Linked DNA regions of Macaca mulatta. Each later gene encodes a partner of the first gene's protein in a complex. Links are inferred from orthologs where the notes say so. Each region holds a gene or a part of one and is shown in the gene's direction. Other genes may lie near its edges. The genes, in order: EIF4E2, TARS1 and EIF4EBP1.

Region 1 (6,752 bases):
CTTTCCTCCTAAAGTGTGCCTCTTCACTGGCCAGTACTTACTAGGTATCCTCTGTGAATAAGGAAATAATCTGTCCTATCAAGACACTAATGAGCCTGTAGTCCCAGCTACTTGGGAGGCTGAGATAGGAGGATCCCTTGACACCAGGAGTTAGAAGCTATAATGAGCTATGATCATACTGCTGCACAGATCCTGTCTCTTTTTTTTTTCTTTTTCTTTTTTTTTTAAGGGGGGAGGTGACACTAATGAGAAAAATGGGACTACTGTGATGAATACAAATAAGCATATACTTGATAGAAAAATATAAATCTAGTTTTCTCATGGGATTGTGAAGGAGCAGCAAGGAGAAACATAATTTTTCTAGCTAAGAAGAAGGCCTTAAACCCTAGCTATGAGAAGCTAAGTCCTGTACGATTTTGGATGGGCCTGGACTTTAGCAACAGCACCATGGTGTAGAGTAGTATGTGTGGTACAAGTGGTTGATTCTATCACTTATGCTTAGTAACTAAACAGGTCTAAGAAGTATTTCATTCAGCAAATGCTATATTTGCCAGTGAAACAATCTTTGATCAGTAAGTGATTTGGTTCTAAAAAATGGATTCAGGCTGAGGCTGTGTGGCACTTAATATACCTCAAGGCTAAAGAGTTTCCATTGTGCAAAAACCTGGTCCTCTTACTGCATGTGATGACTGTCCTGCGGCTTGAGTGGGAGAGTGCGTATTAACATGGTTTCACCAACTAAAGCTCCTGGCTCAGGCTTGCATTTCTCATCAAAGATTTTATTCTTGTATTGCTAATGTTACATTTTTTCTTTCGTGAAACTAGATGATACACTTTTCTTCTAATATGTCTTCCCTCACAGTGCCACACATGAAAATGAGTCCTCTGAAAAGGACAGCCTGTAGTATAGTGTCTTCCATGCTTATGTTCTTAACTAAATTTCAACTTCGGGATGCATTCAAAGAAAAATACAAGACACATCTTTTTTACTGTGGGGTCTTCTCTCTGCAGGTGGAGCAGTTCTGGAGGTTTTATAGCCACATGGTACGTCCCGGGGACCTGACAGGCCACAGTGACTTCCATCTCTTTAAAGAAGGAATTAAACCCATGTGGGAGGTAAGGACTAATGGTCTCTGACTGCTTTTTTGAGCAAGTTTGGGTTTTTTTGTTTTGTCTCTTAGCCTACCAAGGTTAAAAGTATTTTAAAGTCTTCTCTCAAAACTGCATCACTCTCCAGTATATCCTTGGAACCTGAGCCTCTAGAGAAATGCACTGATGCCATTTTTTTGTCTGTGTGGGTTGGTGCTGAGTGTTTTTTAAAGACTGTTTTATGACTAAAATGGTATTAGAACATTAAAGGATTTTTGTTTTCAGTTACTTTTATCCCTATAGAACTTGTTTGTGTATGCGTGTAATATTTTTACATAGTACACATATGATTAAAGTGGGTAGGAAAATAAGCTTAAAGGCAGTAACTGAAGACCTAGAACTGTTTGCAGAGCCAGTATTCGACTGCACCCTGGTGTAATGCATCTTCTATTCTGATGCCATGGCATTTTTTGAGTAGACACATGTGGTCACATCCACGCCGCCCAACTTACACAGCTCCTCATTGCTCACATGATCTTGCATCTCATTTACCTTTCAAGCCTCATCTCCCATTATCTCTAAATCTTCCCTTCCTTGCAGGTGGACCCTCCTGTCAGTTTTTGCGCAGACATGTTCTTTCCAGTGCCCGCAGTGCCCTTCGCCTGCTTTTCCTGACTCACTCCTATTGCCCTTAAGACCCACTTCTTGGCAGGCCTTGGTGGCTCATGCCTGTAATCCCAGTACTTTGGGAGGTCAAGGTGGACAGATTACCTGAGGTCAGGAGTTTGAGACCAGCCTGGCCAACATGGTGAAACCCCGTCTCTACTAAAAATACAAAAATTAGCCAGGTGTGGTGGCAGGCACCTGTAATCCCAGCTACTCGGGAGACTGAGACGGGAGAATCACTTGAACCCAGGAGGTGGAGGTTGCACTGAGCCGAGATTGCACCACTGCACTTCAGCCTGGGTAACACAGCAAGACTCCATCTCAAAAAAAAAAAAGACCCGCTTCTTGACTGTTTCCAACTGTCTTGTTCTTCCTTAACATAGTGTGTATATCTGTTAACAGCAGCACTTATAATTACAGTAGCATTGCTGTAATTAATATCCTTGCCTGTCTGTTCTACTAGACTGGATCTAAGTAGCGACTGGGGCTTCAGCCAGGCACAGTGGCTCACTCCTGTAATCCCAGCACTTTGGGAGGCCGAGGCGGGCAGATCACGAGGTCAGGAGTTCGAGACTACCCTGCCCAATATGGTGAAACCCTGTCTCTACTAAAAATACAACAATTAGCAGGGTATGGTGGCATGCGCCTGGAGTCCCAGCTACTCAGAAGACAGGGACTAGAGAATCACTTGAACCCGAGAGGCAGAAGTTGCAGTGAGCCGGTATCATGCCACTGCACTCCAGACTGGGTGACAGAGGGAGACTCCGTCTCAAAAAAAAAAAAAACTAGATTGGGGCTTCATGACTGTGTATTTGGTATGTAGTTACACTCAGTATTTTTTTTTTTTTTTTTTTTTTTTGAGACAAAGTCTTGTTCTGTTGCCCAGGCTGGAGTGCAGTGGTGCCATCTCAGCTCACTGCAAGCTCTGCCTCCAAAGTTTACGCCATTCTCCCGCCTCAGCCTCCTGAGTACCTGGGACTACAGACACCCGCCACCACGCCCGGCTAATTTTGTTTCTGTATTTTTAGTAGAGATGCGATTTCACCATGTCAGCCTGGCTAGTCTAGATCTCCTGACCTCGTGATTCGCTTGCCTAGGCCTCCCAAAGTGCTGGTATTACAGGCGTGAGCCACCACGCCCAGCAGACACTCAGTACTTTTAGCAAGTGAAGGGATGATCCGTGCTTGAAATATGACATCATTTCATTTTGATTCCTAAAGTATTTCCAGTAAAGGGGATTATTTTTAAAAGGTCTGTTAAGCCATTTTAATATATGGCTTATGCCAAGGATCCCAGCCATGTTTTTCTTTTTTTCCCCATTTCTTCTCTCCGTAGTCCTACCATCAGTTTTTCTATAGAGTTGAATAATTGGAAAATGATATGACTTATTAGTGTTTAAGAGATTATTGGCTTTTTACTGCCTTCATACAAAAAAAAAACACTGTGAAACCGTATTTTAACTTCAGTGCTTTCTGTCTTTTTACAGGATGATGCAAATAAAAATGGTGGCAAGTGGATTATTCGGCTGCGGAAGGGCTTGGCCTCCCGTTGCTGGGAGAATCTCATTTTGGCCATGCTGGGGGAACAGTTCATGGTTGGGGAGGAGATCTGTGGGGCTGTGGTGTCTGTCCGCTTTCAGGTAAGCCACCCATGGGCCAGTCTGGTTTCTTGTGTTGCCTTTGCTCTCCTCGCTGCCTCTGATTTGCTTTGATGATTCCTTGTGTTCCTCTGATAGGAGGACATTATTTCAATATGGAATAAGACTGCCAGTGACCAAGCAACCACAGCCCGAATCCGGGACACACTTCGGCGAGTGCTTAACCTACCTCCCAACACCATTATGGAATACAAAACTCACACCGACAGCATCAAGTACGTGTTGGGGGGTTATGGGAGGATGTGTCCCTAAGCTTAGCAGAAGTAGATCTGTAGTTGGGCCCAGAGGAATATGACCGGACAGGAGACTTACTTGTGGAGAAGGGACAGACCAGGCCTTCCCTCCAGGGCTTCTGGCTACTTGCTGCAGTTCTTTGTCAGCGAGGCTCCCTGCCACCTATACTACCAGGTGCTTTGTAGCAGAGAGAGCCTGTCTGCAGAAACCCAGTTGCACTGCCTGGGCTTGCTTAATTTCTACAGGCTGTCCTGTCTTTCATATTCTAACCACTATCTTAAAATGAAAGACAAGTGCTTTTCTTTTTCTTGCTGTTTTTTAAGATAATTTCACCCTGCCCACCCTCACCCCACTTCTGCATGTCTTTTTAACTTGTTAGCTTCAGTCTGTTTTCTTTGTCCTGGGATACTGACTACTTATCAGGAATGACTCCATTTCCTTGTGTATAGAGCTGACTCATAGAAGAAGGGGGATAGTGTGTGTGTGAGAGAGCAGAATCAAAGGGAAGCATGATGGCCACAGGGAAAATAAGCTTTGCAGTCTCCCTAGGACGGGAAATAGAGCTTTCTGTCTACAGTGAGAATCACTGTTAGGCTTGCTCCTTCAGTGATTGAGTGTCAGAAGTAAGCTCAGGCTATTGTGAAAAAGTGTGGGGAGTGGCTGTCAGATTGTCTCAAAGCTGGAGGGAGAGCTAGCCAGCTAAGAGTTAGGACTCTTAGGTTTAGTTCTGTCCTATGGCCCCGTACCAATATGTGCCTTTGACAAGCGTCTTTGCAACTTTGCTTCAGTTTCTCCATCTGTAAAGTGGGAGACAGTACTTTATCTAACAAGGCTATTGTGAGGCTGATTTAATCTTTAACTGAGGGTCCTCAGATGGAGAATGCTCTTACAGGGCCACGTAGTAGTATTGCTATCATCATCATCATCATTAGTAAGAATATCATCATGTTGTTATTATTGAAGACTAGTAGTGAGCCCAGCGATTATGTTCAGCAGACAGACCGTTTGGGAATCTCTTTCCCATGCATTCACAGATAATGTTATGAGTGGAGTTGGCTTAAACCAGCTAAGTACCAGTTTTTAAGTGGGAACACTGCTATGGGAGTTGGTCCGTGATCAAACGGCTGGCATGACTCATCATAGTCACCAACAGTTATTAGCCAGCCTTGGCCCTGGTTGCTTGCCTTAGCAGTCCTGTGTTAGCATTGTTTTTCTCTAGGCACATTTTTCTTATTCTCTGTTCTGGGATAGAAGTAGTTTCTGACCTCTAGCCTCATTCAGTCCAGGCTGGAGAGATCTATACCTTTTTCTAGGATTCTTGTTTTCAAGGTTTCTAAATATCCCCCACTCCCACTCACCCCCAAAATAAGTTTTCCACCTGGATAAGAGAGGGAAAGAGGTATTTTTCATCAGTTCTCCCCTTCTCTGCTGTTCTCCCTTTCTAATACCATAAGGCAGTTCTTTGTGACTTTTATAGATATATATGTACATGTCCTGACAGAGTTTAGGAGAGCCTGTGGGCTTTTTGCCTTAGTCTGCTAGAAAGACTGGCCTGCTGCTCCCTGCTTTATCCAGAGGTCTGCCTCTGGGACTTCAGCCCTATAGCTGTAGAGACCAGAAAACCAGCCCTCTTTGAGACCCAGATGCTACTTTCCCTTGCGTCCCCCTCTCTTTCCTTTCCCAATGAGCCAACCTTTTGCACTTCCACTAGAATGCCAGGCAGGCTGGGCCCCCAAAGGCTCCTTTTTCAAAACCTCTGGAAGCCGCGGTTGAATGTGCCATGACCCTCTCCCTCTCTGGATGGCACCATCATTGAAGCTGGCGTCATCGGAGTCTCTTGTTCTGTTGGCGTGCTACCTGGAAGATCCTTCTGTCCTGGACAAGAGGAATTGGAAGAGCATTTTATGTTTTAAGAACAGGCTGACACACAGCAGCTACAACAACAGCTGAGATCACTTAATAAATGGTGCTAAACTAGCTTGTCTCATGCTCTTGCTCTTTATGGTGCATCAAAGATGTGGCCTTTCGGACTGACTGTCACCATATTAAGGGATGGCACAGACTTTTCCATGGAGGGCCATCCGGGGAATGCAGCCTCATTTCCATAAGCCCATTGTGTAGTGTCATGTGGTATTTTGTTCCAGGACTGCTGAGGCCTGACATAATAAGGTGACATCTAGCTTTCAAAATAAGACCCTATTTTCTGGTACTTAAATTTGAGGTCCCATCTAGTCACGCCGATGACCAGAACAGAGTGATTTCTGATACAGAATTCAGCTTGAAAGTCTGTTCAGGTTGGAAAGGGGGATCCTTGGCCTTTGCTTCGCTGACTTCCATTCGCCTTTACTTCAAAGAAATTTCTTGCTTGGAGGTAAATCCCTGCTTCCGTCTGTGTGGCTGTATGTATATAGCTTCCTTGCTTTGTGCTAATGGGGTTTTCTTGCTGGTGCCAAAGCTGCCCAAGCCACAGCTCTTTTCTAGCCTTCTCCCTTCTGCTTTCCCTTTAGAGCCAGGTCATCTTCCTCTTTGAGTTAGCCCTGCTTGCAAGATCTCAGGGTTATAGCCCTTCCCTTTCTCCTGGGCCCGGTGTTACTGCACATCAGGATCTGGGGTAGGGAAACGTCTTCATCCCGTGTGAGTTTGCTCTGTAGGATATCTGACCGTAGCACATATGGACCCCTTGTGTGCTTTGTGGCTTTGGCTTGTATGTGCTGCAGCTTGGCCTTTAGGCCCCTAACCTGCATGTAGAGTTTCAGCAAGCCTCATGCTACTTTAGGTTTTCTTAGGAGCTACCACCAAAAACATAATAAAGAATCTTTTTTTTTGCAAACACTGGGTCAGTCGGCCTGAGAGGATCTGTGAAAGTGGCTGTGGATTTAAGGTTGAGTTTTCCAGAGTGGCTGTTCCACTTTGGCAGTGATACCCTGTGCTTGTACCATCCTGACTTACCCCTGATCTCCATGTGGCCCAAGATCCTGCATAACACCTATTAGGATTAGCACTGTGGGCTCAATATTCTAGGGGTGTTTGTGTCATTGCATCTTTGTTTATTACCTATCCAAAATTGGTTGAAGTACCTATAAAATGAGAGATTTGCTGGAATATG
Region 2 (7,269 bases), on another chromosome or scaffold:
GATAATGAGTGAGTCTCATGAGATCTAATGGTTTTATAAGTGTCTGGCATTTTCCCTGCTGGTACTCATTCTCTCTCCTGCTGCTCTGTGAAGAGGTACCTTCTGCTATGATTGTAAATTTCCTGATGCTTCCCCAGCCACGCAGAACTGTGAGTCAATTCAACATCTTTCCTTTATAAATTACCCAGTCTCAGGTATTTCTTCATAGCAGAGAATGGGCTAATACAGTGGGCATAAATTATAACACTGAGAATAAATCAGAAGTTTCTTTTTTGTTGGCAAATACACAAAAGTTGCATAACCGTGTTTTGTGCTTTAGGTCTGAGATGTGCTGGAGGCTCCCGCGATCTTTGCTTAGCTCTAAATACACACATAGTAAAAAAAAATCTTCCTAACACCAGAGGGCACTGTGCTACAGGGATACCTCTGCGAGATTCCCACACTAGCAACTCCGTTACAGCTTCCCCTATGTTCCTGCACCACAGTCAACCTGTTAGAAATGCCTTCTGCTTTTTCTTTTTGCCATCCTTAAATGAGGACTGTTTCTCCCTTGTAATCCTCTCAACAGAATTCCTCTTCTCCCTACCATAACCTGTGTCTCTGGGATTGTATACACAAGTTTCTGAAGCCCTCTGAGGGTTGGGTAATCATGCTGTGATTCTTCCTGTGTATACATGTTAAGTAAATTTGTATGTTTTTTCTATTAATTTACCTCATGTCAGTGATTTTCAGCCAAACTTCAGAGGGCTAAGGGGACCTCTCCTCTTGGCATTTACAATAGTATGTGCTGGTAGTTTCATGCAGTTCTTGGTAGAACTTACTGGTTCAACTTGTTCTTTCACTATGTGTGTATTTAGAGCTAAGCAAGTTTACTATATCTATCTATCTCTATCTATCTATCTATCTATCTATCTATCTATCTATCTATCTATATTTTTTTACTGCTCTGTCGCTGACACTTTGATTTCAGTAACAGTCGTTTTCTTTTCTTTTTTCTTTGAGATGAGGTCTTACTCCATTACCCAGGCTGGAGTGCAGTGGCAAAATCATAGCTCACTACAGACTCAAACTCCTGGACTCAAGCAGTCCTTCTGCCTCAGCCTCCCAAGTAGGTAGGACTGCAGGCGCACACCACCAAACCCAGTTAATTTTTTAATTTTTTATTTTATCTATTTATTTGAGACAGTCTTGCTGTGTTGCCCAGGCTGGAGTACAGTGATGTGATCATAGCTCACTGCAGCCTTGATCTCCCAGGTTCAAGTGATCCCCTCGCCTCAGCCTCCTGAATAGCTGGGACTACAGGTGCACATCACCATGCTTGGCTAATATATATATATTTTTAATTTTTAGTAGACACGAGGTCTCACTATGTTACCCAGACTCGTCTTGAACTCCTGAGCTTAAGCTCTCCTCCTACCTTGCAAGTTTACAGTTTTTAAAAAATGTATTTTATCTCCTTGATTGAAAACTTCACGAAAGCACACTTTGTGTATTTTTGCCAGCACCTGGAAGATGTAAACCTATCACACAGCAGATGTTCAATAAATGTCGAGTGTTGAGACAAAACTTGCTTAATTTTTCAATCAAGGTTTGCAAAATTACCTCTTAATTTGTATTATAAAAGAAGTCAAAACCCATTTACTAACTAGACCTAGAAGAAAGTTTATAATGAGACTAGATTATTAGTAGTGCTTGATGTTCCAGGAGTTATATTCAATTTTAATAGGCTTAGATAGACCAAACTAACTCCCCACATTTAAATTAGAATGAGAATCAACGGGATCTACTCTTACCTTCTAATGTAAAACAATTTAATTATGCTCATTAGACACGTTTGCCTGAATTGTATCTTAATTTTAACTAAGTATAATGAAAACCAGAGAGCTCAAGATTACTGAGTTTGCTAGATGCAGAAAATTATAGGTTAACAATTATATTTAACTGCTATGTAACATTGTTTCTAGCAGCTTCTCTTAACCCCTTGTTCCCTGAAGGCAGAGAGTTGTAGAGAACAGAACTGATGTTTAAAAAGAAAAATCCACAAAACGTGGTGATGGAGTACGTACGTGAAGTTGTGCCCATTGCGCTTCTGATTTCAAATAAGTAATTGTTTTAAATTGCCTACTAACACAAATTTTAAAAGCCCAGTCGATTCCAAACACACCTAGGAGTGAAAATCCATGGTTATTTCCTTGGGTGAGCTTTATTGTATTTTTGCGGGCGCTATAGAAATGCTCCCCCAGGCAGTACAGATCAGCAGCGGCTAGCAGTGAAGAATGTTCAAGGAAGGGTTTGTCCCCGATCACTAGGACTCGGGGCTTGGGGAGCCTGGACTGCCATGAGGAAGGCTCGATTCACCACTACAGACAGGGAGCCAGAGACCTGAGTAGTGCCGAGAAGTCGGCAGTCGCGCCAGGTCAGAAAGCGCCGAAGCCGCAGGAAATCCCGGACTCCATCCCTGGATTTGTTCCAGTGTCGAAGATGGTATCCAGGTCGCCGAAGTTTATGCCAAGACCGACTTATTATCTACGGTGTCCGGGAAGGTCCATGATTGTGCGACATAAAGGCAGAAGGGAGGAAGGCGCAAGCGCATTGGGGACTTGACTCTGAAAAGCGTCCAGACCAAGGTCTGCGGAGAGTAGGCCTGTAGCTCCTCCTCACCCGCCACAACCTGATTTCCTAGAAGGGCTCTGTCATCCAAAAAGATTTTCCATTGGCTTAGAGGAGGCAGGGCCCGTCTTCTCCCGTTATCCATTGGCTGCCCCTTCCGCCGCAAGTTGGGGGCGGGGTTAGGGCGCCTGTCGATTGCATCAGCTGGTCCAGTGGAGGCCAAGTGGCGCAAGCGCAGTGTTCCCGGGCCCTAGCCCACCTGCGACCCGCCTCTTTGCTCTTCTCCTCTAGGCCGTCGCTTTCGGGTTCTCTGATCGCTTCGTCGTTCGCCAATGTTTGAGGAGAAAGCCAGCAGTCCTTCAGGGAAGATGGGAGGCGAGGAGAAGCCGGTGAGCAGACCTGGTGGGACCCAGAGACCAGCCTGGGACTCTCGTGGGTGCAGACGCTCCCTCGCGGCGGGGGCAGGGGTCAGGAAGCAGGAAGCGGCCGGTACCGCGTGGGTCGGAGGAGTGGGGGACGGTGGGACTCATGGAAAGTCGGAACCCCCTTTGGGAACCGTCCATTCATAAATTAGGGTGGGGCCTTGCAGTTCATCTCTGGGTCCATTCTCTTTACAAATGAGGAAACAGACCTTGATTGAGCGACTTGTTCAGAGCCTCACATCTACAGTAGTTAGACGCGGAGACAGAATCAGAATCTTAGGCTTGGGGCTTCCAAACTCGGGTTTGTGGCTTACTGTAAGCGGGAAACATATTGCAGAGCCTTATTTAATCAATCTCCTAAGATCCTGCGGGGGTAAAGAGCTCCATTTTGAGGAAAGGAAAACCGAGTCCCTGAGATCTGACCCAACTTGTCCAGGTTTGGGTGGTTAAGTATACATTTTGCCCGGCACTGAGCTGGGCGGTGGAGGTGGGAAGATGAGTAGGGCCCAGTTCCCCGACTTTGAGGGCCTCACAGGCTGATGTGTAAGAGACAGGAGAACAGCCCTAGTGCTTTGTGATCAGCTGTGTGGTATTACAGAAGAGGAAGCTTAGGAGGGCTCTTTCGAATTGAGTTTGGAAGAATGATTTCACCAGGAAAACAGGCAGAACGGGGCTTCCCACATAAAGGTAGGGAAGGCAGTGAAAAGGGGCACGCAGGTGAATTGTCTTTCGGGTTGTTTGCAAGAGATATGCCAGAAGGGTTAAAGGAACAGCAGTCAGAAAGATCTTAGGCAACAAGGATGTTTGCTACTTGTATTCTATACATGAAGGATCTTAAGCAGGAAGATTGAATTTGTAAAAGTCACGCTGGCATTGGGGTAGAAGGTGAGGCCACATGCAGAAAACTGTTGTAATAGTCCAAGTGAGAAGTGGTGGCATCTTGAGCTAAGGGAGCCTCTATCCCAAGTCTGTGACAGGACAAGTCACTTAAAAGCCAAAACTTTTTCTTGGTTGTCTACTCGGAATTGAATGGAGCACATTCTAAACCAAGTAAATTTAGTTCTAGATGATAAATGGTGACAATACATAGTTTTTTGTTCACATAAAATGGTATTTTTACTATTTTGTAACTTTTTTTTTTTTGCTTAATAGGATGTGGTCAACAGCTTTCCATGTCCATAAATATTCTCCTGTACTATTCTTAATTGGACTTAATATGTATGGTTAACAAATATGTACTTTTTCCTTCCTGTAATAGTTATACAACGGTTAATATTTATTTTGAGTACTAAGTACGGGTTTGGCACTGTATTAATGTATTCCATGAATTAACTCATTCAGTCTTTTGTGTTTATTTATTTATTTATTTATTTTTGTTGAGACGGAGTCTTGCTCTGTCACCCAGGCTGGAGTGCTGTGGCTGGATCTCAGCTCACTGCAAGCTCTGCCTCCCGGGTTTACGCCATTCTCCTGCCTCAGCCTCCCAAGTAGCTGGGACTACAGGCGCCCGCCACCTCGCCCGGCTAGTTTTTTGTATTTTTTTTTTTAGTAGAGACAGGGTTTCACTGTGTTCGCCAGGATGGTCTCGATCTCCTGACCTTGTGATCCGCCCGTCTCGGCCTCCCTAAGTGCTGGGATTACAGGCTTGAGCCACCGCGCCCGGCCCAGTCTTTTGTTTTTTGTTTTGTTTTGTTTTGTTTTTTCCCTGTCGCCCAGGCTGGAGTGCAGTCGCGCGATGTCGGCTCACTGCAAGCTCCGCCTCCCGGGTTCACGCGATTCTACTGCCTCAGCCTCCTGAGTAGCTGGGACTACAGAAGCCCGCCACCACGCCCTGCTAACTTTTTTTTTTTTTTTTTGTATTTTTAGTAGAGATGGGGTTTCACCGTGTTAGCCAGGATGGTCTCGATCTCCTGACCTCGTGATCCGCCCGCTTCGACTTCCCAAAGTGCTGGGATTACAGGCCTAAGCCACCGCTCCCGGCCTCATTCAATCTTCTTAATAACGCTATGAACTGGGTTCTGTTATTATCTCCATTATACAGATGAGAAAGCAGGCAAAGGAACAGTAACTTGCTCAAACCAAGTATCCCTTTTTTTCCCCTTTCTCAAACCCAGTATCCTATAGCAAATACTAATAACCCCTGTGCTGTTCTGAGTGAGTCAGGGACAGATCATTCCTGAGAAAGGTAATTCTGTAGCTTCTGTTAACAATCCAGTTCTGCTTCCCAATTTTTGGGTTGAAATTTTAGATTACTTGTATGTAGATGTACATAACATATATACTCAGGGAAATAGAGAACAGTTGCCCACTCTCTTCCCAGTGTTGTAGAAAAGAGGTAATAGGCCTCAGGGTTCCAGAGAGACCTGTCGTAATGTCCCACCTCTACTACTTAATGATACAAGTGGGCAGGTTGCTTCTTTGAGCCAATGTTCTTGTTTATAAAATGGAGCCGTATTTAGAACCAGAAAAACTTTGTGGTGATTGTCTCTCTCTCTCTCTGTCACTACCCCTGTTCGTTTGGCAAATGATCAAAACCCAAATAATCTTATCAGAAATATAAAACTTATTTTATTATCTTTCAACTTTAAACCTGCACACACCTGCAGTTTTCTTTTTACCCAGTATACTTGATTAGTTACCTCACTTCTACTGTATGACAAAGGATCTGTTGAATCTAAATGAACCTTTAAAGTTTATTAAATCCAGACTCGTGGAGTAGGGGGGAATTTTAGCTCAGCATGAAATTAGGAGTCATATTTTAAAACTAGTTTTTTTTAAAATTATACAAGTAACACGTTTTATAGGATTTAAAAGACAGTGACCAAAATGTCCATCAACTGATAAATGGATAAGTAAGCAATGGAATATTATTTGATAATAAAAAGGTACAATGACAAGTATTGATACATGTTACAACCTGATGATCTTGAAATTATTATGCTAACTAAAAGAAGCCTGTCACAAAAGACCACGTAATGTGTGATTCTATTTATATGAAATTCCTAGAATAGGCAAATCCATAGAAACAGAAACTAGATTAATGGTTGCCAGGGTCTGGAGTTGAAGGCAACAGGGAGTGAACTGCTAATGGGTACAAGGTTTCTTTTTGAGGGTGATGAAAATACTCTAAAATTGATGGTAGCGATAGTTGCACAACAGTGAATACCTAAAAACCATTGAATTGTATACTTTACATGGGTAACTTGTATGATATATGGATTGTATCTTAAAACTTTAAAAAACTAAAGGTCACAAACATGCAAACTAAATGAAATCCCCCCCTTTACATTCCTGGCACAGGATTTATTACTTTAAAACTTTGTATGACTTCACTTACTTCTAATTGAAGCCTGTATTCCTTACGGTAACTTTTAGTTCTTCTGTGAGCATTAGTCTGTCTTACCTTGTATTACTTTCTAAAACAATCCTTCATTAATCAGCCTGGTTTAGTCATTTTTTCTCTCTTTAAATTTTAACGTTTCTGACAACAAGTTTATGTGTACACGTAGGACACATTGCCTCTATTCTCAAAATCCACCTGTTGAAATGCATTCCATCCTTTAAAGTTCTTACACTAGTCCTAGCTTATTTGACGTCTAATCATAGCGCTACTACTGTTCTTTTCTTCTCCGGGAGTTTCTCACACATGTATGCCTTACTTTCCCTGGAGAGACTAGGTTTACACATGGTAGGGATTGGGCCTTATATTTGCTTCTTCCATGGCTTTTGGTAACACTGGTGGAATTCATGGGCACACTTTGTATTCAGTTTGTTTGTTTGTTTGTTTTTCCTGGAAATATGCTTACTGAGTCAACTGCATGCTTCCCTGTGGCCATATGTTTGGTATGTGGTCCAAGTAAACCTGAAGCGAGAGTCACGGGAATAGTTAAAATAAAACAAATGAAATTTGAGGAGTTAAACATCGTTAGTAACTCCTTACTTTTTGAAGACTCGTCTTTATTGTAGTTGTTAACCTGTCTTTGCCAGTGATGAAATTGTTCAGTCTTTCAATATCAGATTTCCATTTTTTAAAAATTCAATAACAAATACTAAAATAACATTCTCAACACTTTTGCTGGGGCATCGCAGGGTGGAGGTGTCACATTAGATTAAAATATAAAACGTATTTTGCTTATTTAGATTGATGCTGGTGAAGAGAAGCGAAAGGAAGGAGGCAAAAAGAAGAACAAAGAAGGATCTGGAGATGGAGGTCGAGCTGAGGTAAAAGTTATCGCAG
Region 3 (7,258 bases), on another chromosome or scaffold:
GCCTCAAGCAATCCTCTGGCCTTGTAATCCCAACCACCAAGACCTGATCTATTTTTATTTTTTCTTATTTTATTTATTTTGTTTTTGAGCCCCGGCTGGAGTGCAGTGGTGCAATCTTGGCTCATGGCAACCTCCACCTCTGGGGCTCAGGTCATCTTCCTACCTCATCCTTGAAAGCAGCTGGGACCACAGGTGTGAGCCACAACACTGGGCTAATTTTTAAATTTTTTTGTAGAGACAAGGTTTCACCATGTAGCCCAGGCTGGTCTCAAACTCCTGCGCCCAAGCACTCTGATCACTTCAGCCTCCAAATGTACTGGGATTACAGGTGTGATCCACAGCCTGGACGAAATTAATTTCTTTTTCTTTTTTTTTTTTTTTTTGAGACGGAGTCTTGCTCTGTCACCCAGGCTGGAGTGCAGTGGCGCCATCTCGGCTCGCTGCAAGCTCCACCTCCCGGGTTCACGCCATTCTCCTGCCTCAGCCTCCCGAGTAGCTGGGACTACAGGCGCCCACCACCACGTCCGGCTAATTTTTTGTATTTTTAGTAGAGACAGGGTTTCACCGTGTTAGCCAGGATGGTCTCGATCTCCTGACCTCGTGATCCACCCGCCTCGGCCTCCCAAAGTGCTGGGATTACAGGCGTGAGCCACCATGCCCGGCCTTCTTTTTTTTTTTTTTTTTTTTGAGACAGCGTCTTACTCTGTCGCCCAGGCAGGAGTGCAGTGGTGGTTCTCGGCTCACTACAACCTCTGCCTCAGCCTCCTGAGTAGCTGGGATTACAGGTGCCGGCCATTATGGCCGGCTTTTTGTTGTTGTTGTTTGTATTTTTAGTAGAGACAGGGTTTCACCATCTTGGCAAGCTGGTCTTGAACTCCTGACCTCATGATCCACCCGCCTAGGCCTCCCAAAGTGCTGGGATTACAGGCGTGAGCCACCGCACCTGGCCGAAATTAATTTTTTTTTTCTTTTTTTTTTTTTTTGAGACGGAGTCTCGCTGTGTCGCCCAGGCTGGAGTGCAGTGGCTGGATCTCAGCTCACTGCAATCTCTGCCTCCCGGGTTTTTACGCCATTCTCCTGCCTCAGCCTGCCGAGTAGCCGGGACTACAGGCGCCCGCCACCTCGCCCGGCTAGTTTTTTGTATTTTTTAGTAGAGACGGGGTTTCACCGTGTTAGCCAGGATGGTCTCGAACTCCTGACCTCGTGATCCGCCCGTCTCGGCCTCCCAAAGTGCTGGGATTACAGGCTTGAGCCACCGCGCCCGGCCTAATTTTTTTTTTTCTTTTGAGACGGGGTCTTGCTCTGATACCAGGCTGCAGTGCAGTGGTGTGATCTCGGCTCACTGCAACCTCCACCTCCCAGGTTCAAGCGATTCTCCTGCCTCAGCCTCCCGAGTAAGCTGGAACTACAGGCACGCACCACCATGCCCAGCTAATTTTTTTTGTATTTTTAGTAGACACAGGGTTTCACCATGTTGTCCAGGATGGTCTCGATCTCTTGACCTCGTGATCTGCCCACCTCGGCCTCCCAAAGTGTTGGGATTACAGGCGTAAGCCACTGCACCTGGCCCAAAATTAATTTTTTAATGTAATTTTCTGAACCCAATATACTCAAAATATTATCAGTTCAACATACAATCAATATAGAAACAAATTATTCAGGCATTTTACATTATTTTTTTCATGCTAAGTCTTTGAAATATGGTGTGTATGTTAAACTTGTGACAGTTTGGACTGGCCACATTTGGAGTGCTCAATGTGCACCTGTAGCTGGCGGCTACTGTCTTAAGCCACTGTAGGCCTAAAGTTTCCCTCAAAAGTGAGACCAAATTCAACAGGTCTCCCTATCTCAGGCCTTGCCCTCCTTGGCCCATCCTGAAACTCCACTGGCTACTAGTTATCTTTCAAAAAAAACAACTCAAATCATGTCATCCCCCTGCTTAAAAGATCTCTGGGCTGGACGCGGTGACTCACGCCTGTAATCCCAGCACTTTGGGAGGCCGAGGCGGGTGGATCACGAGGTTAGGAGATCGACACCAACACCATCCTGGCTAACACGGTGAAATCCCATCTCTACTAAAAATACAAAAAATTAGCTGGGCGCAGTGGCGGGCGCCTGTAGTCCCAGCTACTCGGGAGGCTGAGGCAGGAGAATGGCGTGAACCCGGGAGGCAGAGCTTGCAGTGAGCCAAGATCGCGCCACTGCACTCCAGCCTTAAAAAAAAAAAAAAAAAAAAAAAAAATCTCTGATCTCTCCTGCCCTTCTAAGACAAAGTCCAAGCACTTTGGCATGATTTGAAAAACTCAATGACCTGACCCCAATTTCCTTTTTAAAAAATTATTATATATTTTTTAGAGATAGGGTCTCTCACTAAGGGTGGAGTGCAGTGGTGTGATCACACTCACTGGAGCCTCAAACTCCTGAGCTCAAGCATCCTCCAGCTCAGCTTCCTGAGTAGTGGGGATTACAGGTGCACCACCCAATTTCCCTTTTAAACTTTCTTCACCCTCTTCCCCACAACATGTGCCCACAATGCTAAGAACTTCTCAAACCCAACAAGCTTTTCCATCCTCGGTCCTTCTTGCATTTTTCTCTCTCCCCTTGAACATCCCTCCATCCATCCATCCAAGGAGTACCTACTAAATCTCAGGCAGTGGGGTGGGCGTTGGACCCAATTCAGGAGTTATCGGGAAACCTCTTTGACAAACTCTTACCCCTCTCCTACGCCCTTCCCTCTCCCCCTACCCCCGCGCCCCTAGCTCTAAATTTAACTCCCAGGACGCCGCTGGTTGGTTCACTCCTCCTCCCACACCCTGTCTAAAGGCCGGGAACAGAATTGTTAGCCCCACCATCCCCACCCCCATCAAGGTCAAGAAATTGAGGCGGGGGAGGGGGTGAGCATGACCACTCAATCCCCACTTTCTCATCTGAGGAACTAAGGCACGAAACAGGGAGTGCCGGAGGGTACACCGGGCCTGATGTACTAAGGCAGAAACCGGGCCTTCCTGCAGTGGGCCGGGTCAGCTCGGATCTCCGCGCGGTCCTGAGTCGCCGCCCCCAACCCAGCCAAGGATTAATTTAGGCGAGCTATCCCGCCCACCACCCCCACCCCCATCCCTGCCAACGTGGCGGGGAGGGACACAGGACAGAGGGGCAGTCGCTGCGGGGCGGCGCCGGCGCCCGTGCGGAAGAGCCCGTGAGCAGGCGTGAGTGGGTCGGGGGGCTGCGGGGGATCCCACGTGGAAGCAACGTCCTGGAGCTGGGTGGGGCTGCGGCGCGGACTACAAATCCCAGGGGCGTGGGCGGGAGAGGCGGAAGGGGCGTCCTGGGGCGGGGCGGGACGGGGCGAGGCTGAGCGGGACCCGGCTAGGCGGAGCGAGGCTGGAGGCGCGGGAGGGCAGCGAGAGGTTCGCTGGTGCAGCGCACAGGAGACCATGTCCGGGGGCAGCAGCTGCAGCCAGACCCCAAGTCGGGCCATCCCCGCCACTCGCCGGGTGGTGCTCGGCGACGGCGTGCAGCTCCCGCCCGGGGACTACAGCACGACCCCCGGCGGCACACTCTTCAGCACCACCCCGGGAGGTAGGCGCGGGCTTGGGGACGCAGCTGGCCGGCTCCTGGGCGGGCGGGAGGATCGGGAATCGCGGATTGGACCGGGTGTCCAGGCTCAAGGGCGCTGTGACTGGAAAGAACGGAGAAGGGGCATCGGGGAGATATCGAGGGTCATGGAAGTGGCCGCCCGTCTGCCCTCTTGAGTGCGTCGTCCAGACCCAGGTTGCAAACTGCCCCGTTCGTTTCCTCTTTCTGTTAGGTGTCAGACAGCTGACACCTAACAAACACGCACTCTTCCAGGACTGCCACATGCCGAGCTGTGCTGCCCCTTGTGGGTGTTGGGGGCGCTCCCGAGGCAGGATAGGGCGGAGTCAGGGTGGCCCACGATCCAGGAGAGGCCTGGCCTGGTGTTTTTATGGGATGGGTATTATCTGTTGGGATAAATGATTCCTGCAGGGCCCTTTTTCCTTTCCGAAGCACCCCTAGTTTTGCGTTGGACACGCGCGCTCTGACGGAGGTTTGGATGTGGGGGTGCTCTCCTGCTCCAGCAGAGCCTCCCGGGCACCTGTGGCACGTTCCCCATTTTCGCGAGTGGGATCTCCGCGGGGGGGCCTGGCGCCACGGGCAGGGCTGTGCAGAAAAACACGTTCTTCTGTCCGGGGAGAGGAGGAGGCACCGTGTGACCTCCCTGGGAGAGGATGAGGAAGAGGAAGCTGAGCTGGCACGGGTGCGGGGGTGGGGGGGCAGCCTCAGGCTGCCCTCAGGAGCCTGGCATTCCCTCCCAGCCCCGCAACCCCAGCGCACAGACGCTGATGAAACCTACGCGCCTGTTTGCATGATGAAACAAATCCTCGTGGCTCTCCACTCCCCTCCCATCCTCGTACTGCCCCCACCCCTTTGACTTCTCTCCCTTCAATCTCCTCCACGCTGCTTTCCAAACTACTCGAAAACGCGACAGATCCTGGCGCTTCACTCGGTGGCGGGCAGGGGCCACATGCTTATTTTCTCAGGCAGCTGTCCTACCAGCAGCATGCACGGCCGGATCCGAGGTCCTCAGCTATTTGATCCAAAACATACACTGTTAGAACGGTTAGGGATCTTGTCCAGCCCTGCCGCCTTATTCTACAGAGCCGGGCATTGAGGCCCCAGAGCTTGAACACGTGTCTATTGCCCATTGTCACACCGTTTTCCCAGATTGGACAAGAAATAGCAACCAGGCAGAGAAGGGAGGAATGCTTCATTTTCTATTAGAAATGAGCCAAGGAAAAGCTCGCAGGGGCTCTTATTGCCACTCCCGACTCATCCTCTTTCCCTTGCTGGGTCTTTTGTAGTTCATGCTGTTCTCCTTTGTCCCTGTCACAATGGTCTACCAGGACAATTCCTGACAATTTTGGACTTCTTTCAACTGAGGGTGTAAGTGTCTGCTGGATTTGTTCAGGGTGGGCCCTGAGGCTGGCCTGAAGGCACAGGTAGCCCTTTTTTGCGCCTTTTATTGCTGGATTGTTGGGTCAAATTGGAAGCCACAGATACTGTTTATAGGCACTTCTGGCACGGGTACCAAGGTTCACACCTGTAATCTCAGCATTTTGGGGAGTCGAGGCAGGAGAATTGCTTGAGGCCAGGAGTTCAAGACCAGCCTGGGCAACATAGTGAGACTCCATCTCTACAAAAAAAAAAAAAAAAAAAAAAAAAAAAAAAAAAGATGTCCTAGCTATTACAGAGGCTGCGGCCAGAGGGTCGCTTGAGCCCAGGAGTTGGAGGCTGTAGTGAGCTATGATTGACCACTGCATTCCAGCCTGGGTGACAGAGCGAGACCCTGTCTCTAAAATAAATAATAAACATAAAATATATGAACTTTGAATCCACTTTTCACTTTGGGTTGGGAAGTGGGGAGTAGGCAGGGGGCTGACAGACCACAGCAAATCCCCCTCCTTTTGAAGGTCTTTTTTTTTTTTTTTTTTTTTTTTTTTTGAGACGGAGTCTCGCTCTGTCACCCAGGCTGGAGTGCAGTGGCCGGATCTCAGCTCACTGCAAGCTCCGCCTCCCGGGTTCACGCCATTCTCCTGCCTCAGCCTCCCGAGTAGCTGGGACTACAGGCGCCTGCCACCTCGCCCGGCTAAGTTTTTGTATTTTTAGTAGAGACGGGGTTTCACTGTGTTACCCAGGATGGTCTCGATCTCCTGACCTCGTGATCCGCCCGTCTCGGCCTCCCAAAGTGCTGGGATTACAGGCTTGAGCCACCGCGCCCGGCCGAAGGTCTTTAACAGTAGGGGGAGTGGGGAAGGGGCTTCTGCATCAGGGCATAGCATGTTTCTGAGATCACTGGAAGAAGCTAGCAGTGCCAGGAGCCTAAAGCCAGCTCACTCTTTGGGTCATCCAGGTACAGCTCACAGTCCCTAAGCCAGGGAAACCCGGCTTACTTCCACTAAAGTCAAGCAAGCCTGGTCGGCCTCGATTAGCCAAGGTGTGAACTCTTCCTCCAAAGCCCACCTCAGCCCACCTCTGCTAGGGCAGAGAAGCTGAAATGGTCACATCGCAGGACCCTTTTGCTCCAGAGCAGAATACTGCGTCTCAACCTTCCAGGTGCTTGAGGATAACTGGGGGCTTCATTTAAGTGCATATTCTGATTCTGTAGGTGGGGGTGGGGACTAGATTCAGCATTTCTTTCTTTTTTCTTTCTTTCTTTTTTTTTTTTTTTTTTGAGAAGGGTCTCACTCTGTCACCTAGGCTGGAGTGCAATGGCATGATCTCAGCTCACAGCAACCTCCACCTCCCGGGGTCAAGCGATCCTCCCACCTCAGCCTCCCCAATAGCTGGGACAACAGGCACACGCCACTCATGCCCAGCTAATTTTTGTATTTTTTGGCAGAGACGGGGATTTCACCGTGTTGGCCAGGCTGGTCTCAAACTCCTGACCTCAAGTGATCTGCCTGCCTCGGCCTTCCAGAGTGCTGGGATTACAGGCATGAGTCACCATGCCCAGCCTAGATTCATCATTTCTAACTAGCTCTCAGTGATTGGTGCATATACCACACTCTGAGTACTCAGGAATTAGTGGAACGTAACTTCCCTCACCTTTCAGATCTCTGGAGTCTGGCGGAAAAAAAAAAAAAAATGATGACTCCATCCAGGTAAACCTTGAGGTTGGGCTCAGCATCTGTCTCTAAATCATGGTGTGGAGAGTCAGGCTTTTGATAGAGTGTCTGTATGGCTGTCTGCACCTGCTTACTTATAGGGACTGTCAGCTTCTCAGGAAAAACCACTGGAGTAAGTGCCCACCAGTCACTCCTGCTGGGAATGGCCATCAAGTGATCGTCCCTGGAGGGAAAGAAGCAGAGTTGGGTTGCGCTATCTCCGTTCCTGTGACTGCAGTTTGCTTTCCTTTTTTTTTTTTTTTTTTCCCTGAGACAGGGTCTCACTGTGTCACCCAGGCTGGAGTACAGTAACATGAACATAGCTCACTGCAGTCTCAAACTCCTGGGCTCAAGTGATCCTCCTGCCTCAGCCTTGCAAGTAGCTGGGACTATAGGCACGTGCCCCCATACCCTGCTAAGTTTTTGATTTTTTTGTAGAGGCAGGGTCTCTCTGTATTGCCCAGGCTGGCCTCAGACTCCTGGGTTCAAGCAATCCTCCCACCTCAGCCTCCCAAACTGCTGGGATTATAGGCATGAGTCACCTCACCCGGCCTCCAGTTTGCTTTCCATGGTCA

Evidence for each region.
Region 2: the proteins of EIF4E2 (region 1) and TARS1 are in contact, whole or in part, in a crystal structure (PDB 5XLN), measured with the Homo sapiens proteins. The link is inferred for Macaca mulatta from reciprocal best matches to the Homo sapiens genes EIF4E2 and TARS1. Residues at the interface, in NP_004837.1 of Homo sapiens: His54, Pro55, Leu56, Gln57, Val91, Glu92, Phe94, Trp95, Arg96, Glu149, Asn150, Leu153, Leu156, Gly157, Glu158, Gln159, Met161, Val203; in NP_001245366.1 of Homo sapiens: Pro51, Glu52, Tyr53, Ile54, Tyr55, Thr56, Arg57, Met60, Tyr61, Ile63, Leu64, Glu67.
Region 3: the proteins of EIF4E2 (region 1) and EIF4EBP1 are in contact, whole or in part, in a crystal structure (PDB 5NVN), measured with the Homo sapiens proteins. The link is inferred for Macaca mulatta from reciprocal best matches to the Homo sapiens genes EIF4E2 and EIF4EBP1. Residues at the interface, in NP_004837.1 of Homo sapiens: Glu53, His54, Pro55, Leu56, Gln57, Tyr58, Tyr64, Arg66, Lys83, Gln84, Ile85, Gly86, Val91, Glu92, Gln93, Trp95, Arg96, Phe97, Ser99, His100, Met101, Val102, Leu107, Phe113, Glu149, Asn150, Leu153, Gly157, Glu158, Gln159; in NP_004086.1 of Homo sapiens: Arg51, Ile52, Ile53, Tyr54, Asp55, Arg56, Phe58, Leu59, Met60, Cys62, Arg63, Ser65, Val67, Thr68, Lys69, Thr70, Pro71, Pro72, Asp74, Leu75, Pro76, Ile78, Pro79, Gly80, Val81, Thr82, Ser83.

What each region holds. Positions count from the first base shown.
Region 1 is NC_133417.1:137,819,764-137,826,515, forward strand, and holds the end of EIF4E2 (eukaryotic translation initiation factor 4E type 2), read left to right. Parts: intron 1-1,011; coding exon 1,012-1,116; intron 1,117-3,241; coding exon 3,242-3,394; intron 3,395-3,490; coding exon 3,491-3,627; intron 3,628-5,357; coding exon 5,358-5,430; 3' UTR 5,431-5,612; downstream 5,613-6,752. UniProt on the Homo sapiens protein: Recognizes and binds the 7-methylguanosine-containing mRNA cap during an early step in the initiation. Acts as a repressor of translation initiation.
Region 2 is NC_133411.1:34,817,505-34,824,773, forward strand, and holds the start of TARS1 (threonine--tRNA ligase 1, cytoplasmic), read left to right. Parts: upstream 1-2,831; 5' UTR 2,832-2,942; coding exon 2,943-2,999; intron 3,000-7,172; coding exon 7,173-7,253; intron 7,254-7,269. UniProt on the Homo sapiens protein: Catalyzes the attachment of threonine to tRNA(Thr) in a two-step reaction: threonine is first activated by ATP to form Thr-AMP and then transferred to the acceptor end of tRNA(Thr).
Region 3 is NC_133413.1:39,969,985-39,977,242, forward strand, and holds the start of EIF4EBP1 (eukaryotic translation initiation factor 4E-binding protein 1), read left to right. Parts: upstream 1-3,304; 5' UTR 3,305-3,434; coding exon 3,435-3,579; intron 3,580-7,258. UniProt on the Homo sapiens protein: Repressor of translation initiation that regulates EIF4E activity by preventing its assembly into the eIF4F complex: hypophosphorylated form competes with EIF4G1/EIF4G3 and strongly binds to EIF4E, leading to repress translation.